2 linked regions of the Rattus norvegicus genome follow. The protein of the gene in region 1 interacts with the protein of each later gene in a biochemical or structural test. Links are inferred from orthologs where the notes say so. Each region holds a gene or a part of one and is shown in the gene's direction. Other genes may lie near its edges.

Region 1 (8,396 bases):
CTGAGTTACCTCCCCCATGAGACCCTAGACCTTGGAAAAGATTAATAAATTCTCACTTTATCCTTAAACTTAAAACCTCCTGATTTGAGTATCGTAAAATGTTTTATTTTTATCATTTTTATTACTGGTTCTATTACGGTACTGGTAAACTCGTGAAAAGTCCCTAGACGCGCCTTACTCAAAGGTAATCACACGCATACACGTATCTTAGCCACTTCACTCTCGTGTAAACAGCAGGCTTTGCTGTGTTCCGTTTGCAGGCGTGGGGTTGGGATTTGGTGACAGGGCCTTGCTTTTTAGGGTAGAGGGCCTCTGTTAATACCTCCATGTGTCCTCACAATTCACCCTGTCTGCAAGTGGCACGGTCACTAAAGCTAGCAACCATGGATACTTGAAAAGTACATTTGTCTAATTGTCTAAAGAGGGATACCCTCTTCCTCACCTTCCTTATAATGGCCATAAGCATGACTTTCTGACAGAGAATGGTTTCCATGTCCTGACCCCATTCGTTCTTCGAAGCACTTAGTTCAGTTTTCGTTGGAACAATTTCCAATTTTCACTCATACTCACATTGTATTGATCTAATAACCAATTGAATGACGTCTTATTAAATTTCACAAGAGTGGTTGGGCTTGACAACGTCACTGGGTTCTCGAGGGCCCTGTGACTCCCCCAGGGTGAACAGTATACAAGGACACGCTAGCACGGGCTGTGAGTGTCTGCTGTGCTGTGGGTTTCCTTAGCAGGTTGCATGGTACACCGGCACACCAGTATCAGCTAGTATGTGCAACTGGATGAGCTGGCCATGTGACACTACATAGGAAATTTGCTACTTTAATGTCACCTACAGTGCCCATAGATGACTTAAAACATCTGGAATCACCTGGTGATACCGGGGGGGGGGGGGGGGCATGAAGAAAGCAAGACCTAGCTTCACTTCTCTAGCAAGTGTCCAAAATAAGTATTTATAAGCATGCCAAAAATTCCAGCTTTTGTTTTACCCTCAAGGTTATATTCTTTTTTAAGTCTTATCTTTACTTATGTGTGTGCACATGTAACGGCTGTGTGCGCAGGTGCCCAAGAGAGCCAGAGAGGGTGTCAGCTTTCCTGGAGCTGGAGTCTGAAGTGATTGTGAGCTGGGTGCTAGAAACCCATGCTCAGATGTTCTGGAAAAGCAGCAAAGGCTCTTACTTGAGTCACCTCTCTAGCCACTCATTCCTACTTGTAACTATCTTCCTCAGACATAGATCTCGCATGAGCACCTTCACACAACCATGGTCTGAAAATCTGTCAACCAGCCTGACAAATACCCACTGATAAAAATATGTGTAGGGTGAAAACGCTCTATTCCGTTAAAACAGTCGATGAGATTAGGACGACTGTTAAGGACATTGGTTATATATTCATATCAATAATTAATAACAATTATTAAAACAACAATCTGAGGGGAATAGAATACCTGGTGTGTGCAAAGGAGGCGCTCAGTAAATACGAGCGGAACGACATGCGAGCGGGAATACCCTGCCAGTACATACGCCTTTTCATCTTAACATCGTGATATTCATGCTCGATGAGGAAATGCCCTGTGTTTAGCCTCCAAATGAACTTGGTGGAGCAGCTCAAGTGTGACCCAGGCCGTTCCTGGCAGCACTCTGTGGGAGCGGTGACCTGGAAAGCTCTGGTAAAAGTTACTGAAACTGCTACAGTGTACGGGAAATCACTGCTAAGTTTAAGTCCAAGCAGGAATGAGAACCATACCTGCGGAGAAAAGAGGGGAAATGGAATCACTTTAAGGCAGGCGGAGCCTACAGCAGCCTGCCATTTGGCATGTGCTTCTGCAGAAATACAACAGAGGACCCAAAGAGCTCCAGGATCCAGGTGGAGGTGGGGTGGGGTGGGGTGGGTGTGTGTCGATGGGGAGGGGCCCACTTAACCATACCTACGACTCACAAAGTTGGGTAGGACCTATCCAGTTAACTGCTTTCAAAGGAGACTTTATATGGATGTATATAGCAGGGAGCTGACTTCCTTAGTCGATTGGGCCCTTTGATTATTTATCTCTGAAAGAAAACTGTGTGTCTGTGTATAGGAGCATAATGACAGCAGAATTATGTCCATAAAAGACAAAAGGAAATGCGATTCAAAAGGTCTTAATAGTCTTCATAGACTGATGCGGTATGTGGAGGCCAGAGCACGGCAGTTAGTCAGCTGTGCTTCATTTGATGCCCACCCTCATTTTCAAACAAACACCATACAAATAAAGAGGCAAAAGTCACTTTTTGCTGGAATTTCCTTTAAAAAAAAAAAAACTTTATTATTCAGGCCAAACTTCCAAAGCTGGTCCAAAGATAGAGACAAAGGCTAAGAAGGGTCTGCAGTGGCTTTTCTCACTTACAGGTACCTAACTATGAGTGTGCCAATTTAAAGTTTATTTTAGATCTCAGTAGAAACCAGAAAAGCTAATCCTTTTCGATTTAGAATTTGGTGGGTGTGGCAATCTAGGAAGACCTAGGAAATAACTACTGTTTGGTTTGGATGTTACGCTTGTCTACTATTAAAAGAGCATATAATTATAGCCTAAATGGAGACCCAAATCTTGAACAGACTAATCTAAACTTTCAAAATGTGTACCTTTTAATGTAACCATCAAAAACTATAGCCTGCCAGATGTTGTAGCACTCAGCATAACACGGAGCTTACATTGAAGTCAGGATCCTTTAAAAAAAAATAAAAACCCCTTTCTTGCTCTCCAGCTGACATTACACACCTAAGGAGGGCTTCATTAGATCTACTTTGGAGACGTTAAATGAATTATTTTGAGATAGTTCAGGCTTTTGTTTAAATGCAGGCGAGATCTCTCCTTTTACTGTAAGACGAAAACCCTTCTTACCCCTCCCCCACGCCTCATGTCTTAATGTTTCAAAAATTAAATCTAGAGGTCCGGGGTTCTGAAAGATTGCCTAGTCTAGACAAATAGGCGGAGGAAAAGAAGTAGCAGAGGAGGGGGAGATACGGGCGACATGGCAGCTCCATCCCGTTGAAAAGGGGTGGGGTGGGAATTCCCATATATTTACAGCTTCTCTATCCCCAGCACCTTTTCTAAAAAGACTCCCAGGCAGGAGAGAGGCGAGGGACGCTACATAGGACAACCTGGGAGCGGCGGCGGTGGGGGAAGGGGGGACCCAGGAACCCGGCCTGTCACCTGACTGCCAGGAAGAGGGACGTGCAGCTGGGAGCATCTGAGGGGGGTGGGGAGACCTGGTAGAAGATGGCAAGATCCAGCGCTTCCTGGCAGAGCGCTGGCTCTTTCCCTAGACGTGCTCTCCCGCTTTCGGTCGGAGGCTGCCTTTCCAAGACGGGGGAGTAACCTCTGGCAGAGCACCCGGGTTGGTCCTTTTGCATAGCCGGTGGGAGGAGGGAGGGTGTCCCAAACCAGCGGCCTCAGATGTGCACAAGGTAGCACAGGAAATCTTAAGTAGTGTTATTTGTGACACCAGGGCGGGACAAGAGGTCTGCTTTCCAAAGAGAAGGCTTCGCGTCTGTCTGCAGCAGGCGACAGTCCCGGGCGCCACCTGCGCTTCGGGCGCGGGCCAGGCTGGTGCGCGCCGGGCCCCCAGCGCCCGCTACTGAGAGCGTGAAGTGACCGACCGTGAGTCCTCCGGCTTGCGTCCCCTTCCAGCACCAGGGACTCACGCCCCAATTACTGCTTGCTCAAGGGTGGACGAGCTCCGGCCGAGCCGCTGCCCCGCCCCGTACTACCTGGCAGCTGCCCGGGTGCAGCGCACAGCGCCCCGCGCGGCCCCAGCAGAGCCCCTGCCCTCCCACCTGCGCCGCGCGCCCGCCGCTCCGTGCTCCCGAGACAGGAGACGCGGCCCCGCTCCCGCTCGCGCCCGCGCACTCGGCGCAGCGCGCGCGCCCGCCGCTCCGCCCGCCCCCCGCGCTCTCCCCGCCCCCTCCCTCCCCCGCAGGCACGAGCGAATGTAGCCCGCGAGAGAAAATGGCGGCGGCGGCGGGCGATCGCGCCTCGTCGTCGGGATTCCCGGGCGCCGCGGCGGCGAGCCCCGAGGCGGGCGGCGGCGGCGGAGCTCTCCAGGGAAGCGGCGCGCCCGCAGCGGGCGCGGGGCTGCTGCGGGAGACTGGCAGCGCGGGCCGCGAGCGCGCGGACTGGCGGCGGCAGCAGCTGCGCAAAGTGAGGAGTGTGGAGCTGGACCAGCTGCCGGAGCAGCCGCTCTTCCTCACCGCCTCGCCGCCCTGCCCATCTACTTCCCCGTCGCCGGAGCCCGCGGACGCGGCTGCAGGAGCGAGTGGCTTCCAGCCTGCGGCGGGACCGCCACCCCCGGGAGCAGCGAGTCGCTGCGGCTCCCACTCTGCCGAGCTGGCGGCCGCGCGGGACAGCGGCGCCCGGAGCCCCGCGGGGGCCGAGCCGCCCTCTGCAGCGGCCCCCTCCGGGTGAGCGGCGGGCCGGGCCGGGCGGGCAATGAATGAAGCGAGGACGGAGCGCGGCTCCCGGGGCTCCGCTCGTGGGGCCCCGCGCCCCCGAGCCCTGAAGGTCGGGCGGCGCCCGGGACGGCGTGGGGACAGGACGGGAGCGTGCGGGAGAGTTTGTTATTGTTTGCGGACATGTGACAGGCGTGCAAACCGCGGACGTGCGGGGCTCCCGGGGCCGGGTCCTGAGAGCCCCCACGGCGCGCTGTGAGTGGGGAGCCCGGAGGGCGGAGGTGACGGCGGTGGGTCTGCGCCCTGTGACAGGATAGAGCCCCTGGGCCCCACGGGGACGCGTGCCCGCCCGCAGGTACCGGGCCGGGCTTATGCGACGCTCCCCAGGCGGCCGGGGGATTCCGGGGACTGCGGGGAACGCCTGTCAAAGCGACGCGGGCAGACGCTGCGGGCTCGCTGGACCGCCGGGTCTGCGGGGACTCCGTGGCTTCCCTCACTGCGTGTCCCTGGGAATTCCTACCGCACCTCGGAGGCTAGAGCGCTGGGAGTTTGAATCCGCCTTTGAAGTTAGCGTTTGGCGGAATGCTGTAGGATCCAGGACCGGATGTGTCAGCCATTCAGCTTCAAAGCTGTGGGGACTGCGCCCCGCAGCCCCGCTGCGTGGCGGGGACAGGGACGGTGCGGGGCTGCGGCTTCGCTCGCAGGGGTCTTCCGGTGCACCAGAAGTAGGATGTGCGTAAGATAGTTTACACCAACGGCTCTTTGGCCTCGCCCTTTTTTGGCTACTGGAAAATTTTCTGTTAGAGGAAATTCTTTTTAAGTATATGATACTTTTAAAAATTCTGATGAAAATACACAAAAGCATAAAATCTTGTTGGGTGTGTGAAGTTGCTGGATATGTTTTCGTGATAGTCACCCGGTGGCCCCGTAGAATTTCTTGACGTTTACTATGGGTGGAGAGTGTTTTATTGTGTGTCGAATCTGACAGTAGGAATCCTTGGTTTCGGTTAGTTATCTAAAGTAATTTGACCCCCTTTGGTGCTCTGGCTTGTTTAAAATCACGGTCCGTTTATTACTTGGAGGTCGTTTTTCCTCCCCCCACCCCCCCGTAGTAAAAAGTGTGCTGACTCCTGGGCTCTGGCAGAATGGGGAGGAAGGTAGGCAGCAGCCAGCCCTACTGCAGCTTTCTGTGTGCACTTGTACACGTATCTTCCTCTAGGGTTTCCTGTTTTTGTGCAGATTAGATTAAAACATTACCAGAATAATTCCTAGGTGGCAACTCTTACTACAGATCAACTGCAGACGGAAGCAAAAAACACTAACTTAAACTTGGAGGAATTAATTTTCTCTAGTTTTGTGAGACCTGATTTTTTTTTCCTATATGGTAATACAGCTGGCCGCACTTCAGCATTTACAAAGTCAATGTTATGGCCTATGAATATAGCATGAGAGCAACAACTGCAAAAGTGATATATAGAACTTTAGTGTTCCCTGTAGACTCGAAATTGGAGGATGAAGGTGAGGGCAGGAGGGATTGAATACCTGAGTAATCTGTGCTTAATTTTCGCATTCTCTTTCCTCTCCTTAAGGAGGGTTTATAATTGTAAAGGTTGTTATTAAAATAAATACTGTTAGCTGGAATTCTGTTGGTGCATCTCAAATGTTACATGTGATAATTTCATTTGCGGTAAAATATAGGGTATCTATCTTTTTGAAATAATACCAACAGCCCCTCCAGTTTTTGTAGCACTGGTTTGAAATTCATTTCAAATCTGCTGGTATAGAACTTACAACATGAAGAAGAGGTTATACAAAGATATTGTCATGTGTTTTGGGTTGCCTGTTACGATGCCTTATTATTTTATCATTTAAGATCTTGGGGAAATGATTATAAGGCAATCATATAAAATCTCAATTGAATGTTATGTTCCCCTCTTTCAAGGAGTTCACACGCATACTTTGATGAGGACGATTTAATACTGATATTTTGTGTTTGTTTTCTGTAGTAGTAGAGAGCCAAAGACCCCCTCTGTGTGTCTGAAGACCTATTGTAGTTTTGGGGTTTTTGTTTGTTTGTTTGTTTTTTTTTGTTTTTAATCCAGTTTCTAAACTTTGAATGTAGAAACTGAAAGTTTAGAAAATACACATTCGTGAAAGATAAATTATGGGAAATTCATTAAAGTCAAAGATTGTATGTCTGCCCCCTCTCCTTCAGTGAAATAAGTCAGTGAAAGTCTGTGCCTGTAAGTGGCGCCCAAGGGTTTGGAATTTTCCCTTGTACTAGGGAATAAGGGGCTTTTCCTTCCTATTTACCGTCTTTGAAGAAAAATTACAGTGTTGCTCTTCATTGAACAGGCTATTGTGAGTTTGGCAGATATAATTACTCTATCCTATTTTTGTAGGTTCAACCAAACTATCAATTTGCTGCCCCATGAAAGAGCAAGATATGCTGTGCTAGTTAATGTTAGCTTTGTTTAGAAGTAGCGATATTTCATAAGTCGCCCTTGCTTCCTCATAGGCCTCAGTTTCACTTCCTTTTAGAAGCTGTTAGGCTAAAAATACAAATCACTGATCCTTTGCAGGAGGGGAGGTATAAAAACATTAATAATGAACCTAAATAAGGTATCTGCTCTGAGCAGGTGATCCCCTAAAATCATAGCTGTAGACCCAGAAGTTAGCCCTGAGTGAGTTCCCATGCTCTGGTACTTAGGCTTTCTCTCCAGGTTTTGTTTTAAACTAGGTGAGGGAAATTACTGTATTTTTAAAAGATTAACCTTATTAAATAGGATTCTGGAAAAGAAATATCAGAGCTAGAGTGGTTGCCAGCTTTTGTTTTCTCTTCATATCTGATCTTGGCAAGAGTGACTGGTTAACCAACATTCCTTAATATATAATTTCCAATACACTATAATGACTCCATTTTGTTAGATAGGCAAACAGGAAGGAGACAGGTTGATTGATACTTCTGTAGCACTTTAAGTGTGATGTGTTGCACTTTGTAGAAATGGTCACTGACATGTGGGCCTGACGATTTCAAGATGCTCAGAGAAAGGGATATTCTGTAGCTTTCAACAAGAGCAGAAAACAAACAAAAAACCAGCCAGTTTGCCTAGGACGCCACCCTGTCCTTGACCCTGTTGGCCAATCCCAAAGGAAGAAGTGCTGTGTGCAGTAGTCGGGGAGAATGGGTTATTCTGAGGAAACATGAGGGGCTGGTCAAGACGCTGTTTGTATTGCCTTTGCATTCTGCACTCCACGTGCATCCCTGAGCCGAGGGGAAATCTGTATTACAGGAAAGAGTGGCATGGGAAGGAAGGTCTTAGTCCATGGCGGACACTGCTGACCCCATGTCTGCGTTTTTCAACATAAGATGATTTGTCTGCATCACATGTGCCATGTACATCCTGTCGACTGGCCATCTTCCTTAGTCCTGGCCTTTCTGTATCTTTAGTTAAAAGTCACAGTTGCTGAAGAGTCTAGAGGGAACCTGTGAAGCCAGGAGGTAGCACGAGCAGGGCCTTGGGTTTGATTGCTAACATATGCAATGTTAAAAACACGACAGCGTCTTCAAGAAATTACTTGAGGATATTTTTAATCAAGAAAGACGTCAGGACCAGAACTGAAGTAAATGACTCACCGGAAGCGGGGATGTTAGTGTGGTAGGTACCCTTTAGATCACTAAACGTAAGGATTTTACCTGTGGCTTAAAAAAAAAACCACCTGGTGGGTTTGTAGATAGATGTGTACGCTTTTAATACAATCAGCTTCCCTGCCCTCTGTGCGGCCGACAGATTACATAGATCACCTTGTTTAATCTCCAGCCCTCTCGGGCATGGTAACTTCTCTTTGGGGAGGTAAGAAATTAATTGGACATAGAAAAACCCTATGATCACTCAGCTACAGACAAAAGGTAGGATTCGACCCAAGTCAGCCTGCCGCTGTTGCCAGCTCCTCTCATT
Region 2 (8,350 bases), on another chromosome or scaffold:
ATTTTATTTTCTGTGTATGAGTGTTTTGCTTGCACATATGTGTGTGTAGCATGTGCATGCTTGGGGCAAGCCGAGGTCAGAAGAGGGTGTCAGATTCCATTACAGATGGTTATGAGGGACCATGATGGCACTGGGAATCAAACCCAGGTTTTCTGTGAGAAAAACAAATGTTTTTCACTGCTAAGTTGTATCTCCAGCCCCTAAAACTCTCCTCTTAATCTAACCATTGACGTTGAGAGATGAACCAAAAAGAAGCAGCAAACTAGATTTTGCAACCAAGTTTCCTGAATCAGGTGCTAGGCAAACATGACTCTTTCTCTGTAGCTTCTCTTAAGGCACCTTGCTCTCACCATGCATTACTCAAAGCAGTAGACTTAATGCCATTCCAATTCTCTGGTTGCACAGCAGTCTGGACTTCCAGGCCCATGCAGAAATTCCGTACATTGGTTTATAAACAGGATTTTTCTGGGGTTTAATACACATTGCCTAATTGTCCTCCCCCCTCTCCCCAAATTATGATAGCCACTACTATTATTACTCCAAATTCTAAGCTTCCTTTGAGACATTTATTGTTAAAAGCCATATACAATGTTAGTTTTCTATGGCTGCCATAACAAAGTACCACAGGCAGCTAGCTTAAGCAACAGGAATTTGTTTGCTCATAACTGTGAGATCAAGATGTGGCACAATGTGGTTTCTCTTCTTGGCTTGTTGATCCCCATCTTCTAGTTTCCTCGTGTGGATCCTTCCCCTGTGTGTCCTCCCACCATCTCATGATAAGAACACCAGCCTTCACTACCTCTTCAGTCTTACCAATCTCCTCATGGACCGTATCATCTTCAAACACAGTCCCTGTCACAGCACCAGGGCTTAGGACTTCAACAAATGAATTCTTAGGAATTCAACTCAGTCTAGCATGAACACAACACAGAAGCTTACAAGAAAAGTAGGAACATGAGAACAAGTAAAAGGCATGCACACAGCTTCAAGAGCTTTAAGAAGTCAAAGTCCTGTCTTGTTTCTGCCCACGTGTAGATTTAATCAGAAGTCCTTGTTCTCAGTCCTTATCTGTCAGTTTACAGTACCAACAGTGATGCAAATCCAGGCCAGATTTATCACAAGCCCAACATTACACAAATAGCTTGGCTGGGTTCACACCCCTTCATTTCTCTTACCCTCAAGAACTTGCTGGGTTGAATGTTTTCTTTAGGTTTCTTTGTTACTTGTTTTTCTCATTCATGTTCATTTAACTATAGTGGCTCAGTATTTGCTTAACCTGATTAAAGTCCTTTTGTATGACCTATATACCCTCTAGGGCAATATTGGAAACAATAATATCTTTTAGCATCCATCCAGACTCTGGTAATGTCTTTAAGAGATTGGTACACACACACACACACACACACACACACACACACACACACACATATAAATAATATATAACAAAATAAAATATATAATGTAACATAATAATATATTGTACTATCATATACCATATTGTATAATAAATATCTTATATATTTTGTAATATATTACATATAGCTAACATAACACATATTTTAGAATTTATATTTTATATTATATAGTATATAATGTATATAGTGCATATACTTATAATATGATATATATGTTATTAAAGAACTATAAACTTGTTGGAAGGGGAAGGGATTTACAAAAGCACTTTCCATAGGACTGGAAACATATTTATTATTATATTTATTATTCACACCAAAGACAGGAAGTGGGAAGCTCATGGTGCTACGGAAACAGGGAAATTCAAATTCCTCTAAAATATTTCTTTACATTGCTCCAGCCCCCAAGAAACTGTGGAAATGACACTCACAAACCATAGTGATGCTAGAGCGGGCTGGGATACTTTCCCGGCAAGTCAAATGTCATGATACACTGGGTCTAGAGTAATGACAGGACCTGATACATTGCTAGCAAATTATGGAGCCTGCATGTTAAAGTGTCCAAGCCAAAAGAAATATACAACTATATTGTATTGTTTTTTTCTTTTGTGTACATCCATGTTTTCTAATATGGCAATTTGTTTGGAAGAAGTATTTTATTTGATTTTTTTCATCCCTAAAAAAAGCTGTAGAGAAGATTCTGGAACTTGTCCATAAACCAGCTTGACCAAAAAACCTCAAAGAGATATGCCTCCTAAGTACTGGGATTAAAGGCATGTGTCGCCTTGGTCTGCTTTATGATTTTTGATTCTTCTCCTGGACCTAAAGTATAACCTTCTTCAAAGAAAGCCACCTTCTGACCTGTGCTTGAAAAAGAGATATGTTTGAAGGCCACCACAGCCTCTCCTTTTGTTGTTTGCTGTTCTCTTCCCACACAGAATAAATTAACAAAATATTTAGTGTGCATTCTGGGCTGGTAACCGACACCGGAACTTTTCCTTTTGGATTGTGATACTTATTTTCCGCGAAGTACTCCTGTCAGCCTCCAGCAGGACAGAGAGCATTGGGCTGAGACCACAGCTATTGCTGCTTCTTCTGTAATGGTGGATCAGAGACTGGACAGGAAGCATGACTTCTGAGATCTCTTAGAGCGCTACTGTTCTGATTTTGGGTTCTGAGGTTCGGAGAAGGGAGTTCTAAAGCTTTGGGGCCATAAGTCTTTCCCTCCCCTCAATGCACATATATTTTTGATTCTGCAAGCCACTGTGGGTCCCTGGGGGGTAGGTAGAGGGCCACCCTGATTCAAGACTGCAGGCCCAGCCCTTAGTTCTGGGTGTTGCAGCTCAACCTGTATTGCAGGCTGCGCGTCAGCGCTGGTGGGGGTGTGCACGGGGGCGTGACGGAGGCGTGTCCGGGGCGTGGCCAAGGCGGCGCACGCCGCGCCCTCAGCGGGGCGAGAGGCCGAGCTTGCTGCATTGCAGCCGCCGCGGCGCCGCTCGGCTCCTCATTTCCAACAATGGCGGCTCCGAGCCCGAGCGGCGGCGGCGGCTCCGGGGGCGGTGGCGGCACCCCGGGGCCCATCGGGCCTCCAGCTTCTGGCCACCCGGCGGTCAGCAGCATGCAGGGTAAGGACAGCGGGCGCGCCGAGACTCTGGGGCCCCTCGCGAGGCGCTTGGCCGAGCCGCGGCCTGTGAGCCGCTGCGTCCCCGGGGCTGTCTGAGGAAGCCGCCCGAGCTCCGCGTCCCGGGCCCGGCCTCGCCCCGGGCTCCTCATCCCCGGCCGGGTTTCGGTGAGCGCTGTGGCGGCTCTGGCCCCGCGGGCTCAGGCCCACCTGGCCGCCCCCGCCCGCAGCTCACCTGGCGCCCGCGGACTCCCGGAACGCTCGCGGCGGGGCCTCTGACTTGCAGGTCGGCCGCGTCCCGGCCCTCGGCCCCGCCGCCCCCGCGCGCCGCAGTGGGGCCGGCTCAGGGCCATCTTGCGCCTCACGGTGCGCCGCTGGAATAGGGCCACCGCGCTGTCCCCCGGTCCCCAAAACTTTGCAGGGTGTCTGCGTGGGAGGGGCGGGGGTTTGCGAGGCTCTGTGCCACCTGTAAGGTGGATAGACAGCCATTGGCCCGGGAGAGGCGTTTCGACCGAGGCCCGAGATGTGTGTTATCCTCTCATACAGAAAAGAAAATCAGATAAAAATAGACGGAGTTCGGCTGAAAGGGAGAGAGATTCAGGAAACCGAATGGCAGAGGTCAAAGTGATCATGTCTGGGCATCTGAGGCAGCTTTCCTGTAATGGCCTTTTCTCCCGGAGAGGCCTTAGGAGCTCTGTGTGGGTTTTGACAGGGGGTGTTGTGAAAATAACAGGCCCGAGTCCATTTCTTAAGTTTACTGGGGCTATTGACACAGGCAAGCCCAGAAATCTCTTGACAACTTTAGCAAACGACTTATGCTGCATTATTAGAGTCGTTTGGATATCCTTGGTATCAGTATGACCATGTTTTCTTTTTGGTTAAACTCTTCATAAAGGGCTCCTTGTGTCTAGTGAAGTTCAACAGATTATATGTTGAATATTTCGTGTTTAATGACAGCATACCATGATTTGGGCAGCAGAAATACGATTTGTATTTATATCCCTTCCCATAAGAAAAATTTGTGGGATAATATATAACCAGATCGTGCACTTCAGTCAGAAGATATATTCTGTGCAGGTCCTAAGCTAATTAATTCAAATGTCGTTAGTGGATGCCTGCTGTGCTCCATAGCACATTGCACAGAATACAAGATGGATTTTCTTGATATCATACCTTTATTATTTGTTAAGATAATTTGAGTTTATCCTCTCTTTTGCCCTGCCCACAATGGGTGTGATTTAAAGTTTAAATATTTTAAGGGTAGTGACAGAGCCTGATTTGAGTTCAATCCTTGGGACTTACATGGCAAAGAGAACTGATTTCCTCAAGTTGTCCTCTGACTTCTACACTTGAATACACAATAAATAACTCAGTAAAACAATGTATACATTTCAAGATTGAGTGTGTGTTTGTGTGTGTGTGTGTGTGTGTGTGTGTGTGTGTGTGTGTGTTTGGAGAGAAGAGGCTGACAGTTCGAAAAACCTGTATACATTTTTTTTCTTGTTCAGAAAATACTGAGCAACTGCTTAGAGCCAGCATAGAGCTCCGTTTTGAGTGTGTAGAGACAGTGAACCCAGCTGTCTCATCTCTGGTGGGGCATGTCCCTGTGAGGGTGGAGGAGGGAAGACATGGAGGTAAACAGGAGAAATTGCTTAAGAAAAATGAAAGCAACAGCTGGGTTTTGTGATAGAAGATAACTGGGCCGTCTCTTTGATAAGATGACAGAGAAAGACTGTCTGGAAAGAACAGAGATGGGGCCTAGGCAGTGAGAACAGTGAAGAGGGGAGACTGTCTAGGAACTCAGAGTCACATAGTCAGTGATTCTGGTGTTCTTTAATCTCCTTCTCTGCTTTTTGATATCTGGAACCCTTCTTAAAAGGGCCCTAAACTGTCTTGGAATTATTGCTGATTTTTTTAGAGGTGGGGGGGAGAAAGAATGTTTTGCATGTATGTATGTATGTATGTATGTATGTATGTATGTATGTATGTATGTATGACTATTACATGAATGCTTGATGCTGGAAAGGTCAGAAGAGGTCATCAAACCCCTGGGGCTCGCTTTATAGATGGCTCTGAGCTACCAAGTGGGTGCTGGGAATCAAACCTGGCCCTCTTGCAAAAGCAACAAGTGTTCTTAACCACCGAGCCACTTCTCCAGCCCTTGTTTTGTTTTTGTTTTTATCTTTACTGATATGTCTTTACTTGAGGCTAGAGCATGTCAGTTCTATCCTGTGTTTTGAACCTGTTTTGACGGCTCAGAATAAAGAAATGTTTAAGGTGTTGTATAGTGCAATCTGAATCAAGAACCTTGGGCTTAAGCAGCAAATTAATTTTTTTCTAGGTTTGAGCCAAACTACTCATTTTTTTTTAACCAGTGTCTTTCTTTGGTTTTATTTTTATTTATTCTTCTTGAGATGAGGTCCCCCTGTATTTCCCAGGCTGCCTCCCATTTCATAATCTTGCTACTCAAAAGACTGCCTTTCTTGGAGTTGTTCATTGTCGGGTCTCATTGACCAGCAGATTCAGGTTTAAGGACATAGGATTATGGTTCAGCAGTCTTTGAACCATATCCAGGAGGATAGGTACTTTGCTTGACCAAAGGGCTTTGTGGTGTTTCATGGCTTGACATCTGTGACCCAACTGTGATACAAAACTGGAAACATTATTTCCATTATACTGTAATGCTTAATGGCCAGAGCTCTGGAATCCTGAGAGTGGATCCCATCCTCATTCACCTCACCAGGACTTAAGCTTTTTGTGAGTATAGTGTTTAGCCTCTCTGAACCTGTGTTTCTTACTTGGAAAGTAAGAATAATGCCTGTTCCACAGGCACAAGGATAATGCATACAAAGCATGAGACTTGGCATACAGTAAAGAGGCCATGCATGTTGGCCATCAACATTTTCATCTGTTATTTCCCCTGGTCCCTATCTCTTTATCCCAAGTGTCTCTAGCCTCCTGTGACCAACTTACACATTTCCTTTTCTAGCTTTTATTGTCTGTGGGTTGGACACTTCTTCTAACCTGCTGATGTTACTATATTTCACTTCTAAGGGACCCTATTTTTAGAATTCCAGAGAAGAGTTTGTTCAACTTCAAACTTTAAATCCTTGTTGGTTTCTGGATCTGAGATTCTCAAATGATGATGTGTTTGAGGTACTCTTGTAGCTGTAAATGGGCTGTGGGCTATGGGTGGCTGGAGTGGGAATTGTAGCAACCTTGGCTTCTTAACAGTCATCATTTGTTCATTTTGTTACATTTTCACAGAGCAGTTATACTTCTGATTTGGCCATTGTTAAAGCATTCTTCCCACAGAGTCTCAGCTATTAGAGAATAGTATCTGATTTTGCTATTACTCATATGTTCGAGCTTTCATTCATTCTGACTCACTTTGTTTTTGAACTTCCTCATGCCCATATACAGACGTACAAACATTTACAAGCTGAATATGCCTCTCCCCATCCCCACCCCCATTCCTCCTTTGATTATTTGGTGAGTAAAACTATCAAAATGTAGATCTGCTTGCCAGGTTGGGTAAATAGTATTATAAAAATATATTAGACATTAAAATATGCCTTTTTTGAGGAAGAAATATTCAAATGAGCTATTATTAAATTGGCCTTAAATCTTAATATTTACTTAGAAATTGAAAAAAGTATTTCCCAAATAATTGAGAGTTTGAAAAACCATTTCCGTGATAATTTGTCATCACAGACTAATTTAACTGAGGCTTCTTGCATGGTATGGTACTGTGTAATAGTGTAATAATTCAGCCCAAGAAATTTTAGTGAACTTAAAAATGCATAATTGCCTTCTTAATATTCAAGAGACTTTGTAGTGGTATCTTGTAAAAGCCCAGGAATTTAGCCAAGTCAGTGGAAGTATATCAGGTGCTCAATCTCAGGGGAGCTGGGCATAAGTATGGGCCCTAATGTTCCATAAAGTCACCATGGGCATGCTAGAGAGTAACAGATACTCTGGTGAATAAAGCTGTCCAGCTGAGAGTTGAGCATCTTCAACAATGAAAACACAGCAAGATGATTTCTTCTGTGCTAGTGGCTTTACCTCTGCATAGAGCAGTCAGTGTCTTAGAAACAAGACTTCAAAGTTGGAAGGATGCTGTGTTTGGACTAGGAAAAACCAAGGTTTAGAGTGTGCCTTATGCACACTCCGCACCCTTGGGAAATGACTGGATTTTTCTAATTTCCCCTAATTTCTCATCCATTGAAAGAGAAGATACATAGCTTATATAGAGACTATTTTAAGAATCACATTAATGTGTGTGAATATGTCTTACATCATAAAATACTATAAATATGTAACAGTTATTACAAATGGTATTGACCTGTTTTAAGCTGCTAGTCATTTAATATGTAGTGAATTTAAAAGATCTCTTAAAATGTGATAAATTGAATTTATTATAAAGACTTAAGGAGACTGGGGAGATGACTCAGTGTGTAAAGTGCTTGCTGCACAAGGGTGAGGCCCTTCATTTTGTTCCCCAGCACCAGTGCAAAAGGCTGGGCATGGTAATGGGCATCTATAGTGCTAACCCTAGGGAGTCAAGGACAAAAGGATTTCTACGCTTGCTGGTCAGCAGGCTCAGTGAGAAATGCTTCCTCAAAAAATAAGTTGGACAACAATTGAAGAAGATAGTGTATATTGACTTGTGGTGTATATATGTACACATCTGAATGCACAGATGTACATACGTAATAAGTTAAAAAAGAAGGCTGTGAAAAAAAAAACAGAGCCTTAAACTTGAGTAATTGAGAAATGTCTCTTTAAAAGCGCTTTTTCAAAGTGGTTAGCGTAGCTGGAATTATTTATGTATTTATGTAGATAGCCCTGTATGCTGAACTTAAACTTGTGGTTCTCCTAAGGGTTGGGCCTACAGGTGTGCAGCAGCACGCTCAGTTTAGAACCCCATCGACGAGAAGCACTGAATCATCTGTAAAGTACTTTCTGTACAAGCAGCTATAGCATAAATGTATGTTCTTCATGTATTGATCCTAATGTAATGATTTTTCTCCTTAGATCTTAAGTGTAAGTGTATAGTATGTGATTAATGCCCACTCTTGGGTAAGCATTTTTTATATGTCAATTAAAGTAAACGTATGCTTAAAAACATAAACTTTAAAATGTTCTGAAGTATATCTTTTAAGAGAAAGTGGAGATTTTGAGATCAGTCTGCTTTTCTCTTCCTAGCAATATTTAAATGTATAAAACAAATATAAAAAAAATCTGGTTTTGATTTAGTATATGGTCTAAAGAACTGACGTTGGGGTTGGGTATTTAGCTGAGTGAGTGCTGCCTA

Evidence for each region.
Region 2: of the proteins of Map3k1 (region 1) and Map2k4, one has a biochemical effect on the other in vitro, tested with the Homo sapiens proteins (7 studies listed by BioGRID and IntAct, with this or other methods). The link is inferred for Rattus norvegicus from reciprocal best matches to the Homo sapiens genes MAP3K1 and MAP2K4.

The regions. Positions count from the first base shown.
Region 1 is NC_086020.1:45,142,873-45,151,268, reverse strand, and holds the start of Map3k1 (mitogen-activated protein kinase kinase kinase 1), read left to right. Parts: upstream 1-3,250; 5' UTR 3,251-3,386; exon of another isoform or gene 3,387-3,497; 5' UTR 3,498-3,997; coding exon 3,998-4,449; intron 4,450-8,396. UniProt on the Homo sapiens protein: Component of a protein kinase signal transduction cascade. Activates the ERK and JNK kinase pathways by phosphorylation of MAP2K1 and MAP2K4. May phosphorylate the MAPK8/JNK1 kinase.
Region 2 is NC_086028.1:50,941,565-50,949,914, reverse strand, and holds the start of Map2k4 (dual specificity mitogen-activated protein kinase kinase 4), read left to right. Parts: upstream 1-2,875; 5' UTR 2,876-2,928; coding exon 2,929-3,037; intron 3,038-8,350. UniProt on the Homo sapiens protein: Dual specificity protein kinase which acts as an essential component of the MAP kinase signal transduction pathway. Essential component of the stress-activated protein kinase/c-Jun N-terminal kinase (SAP/JNK) signaling pathway.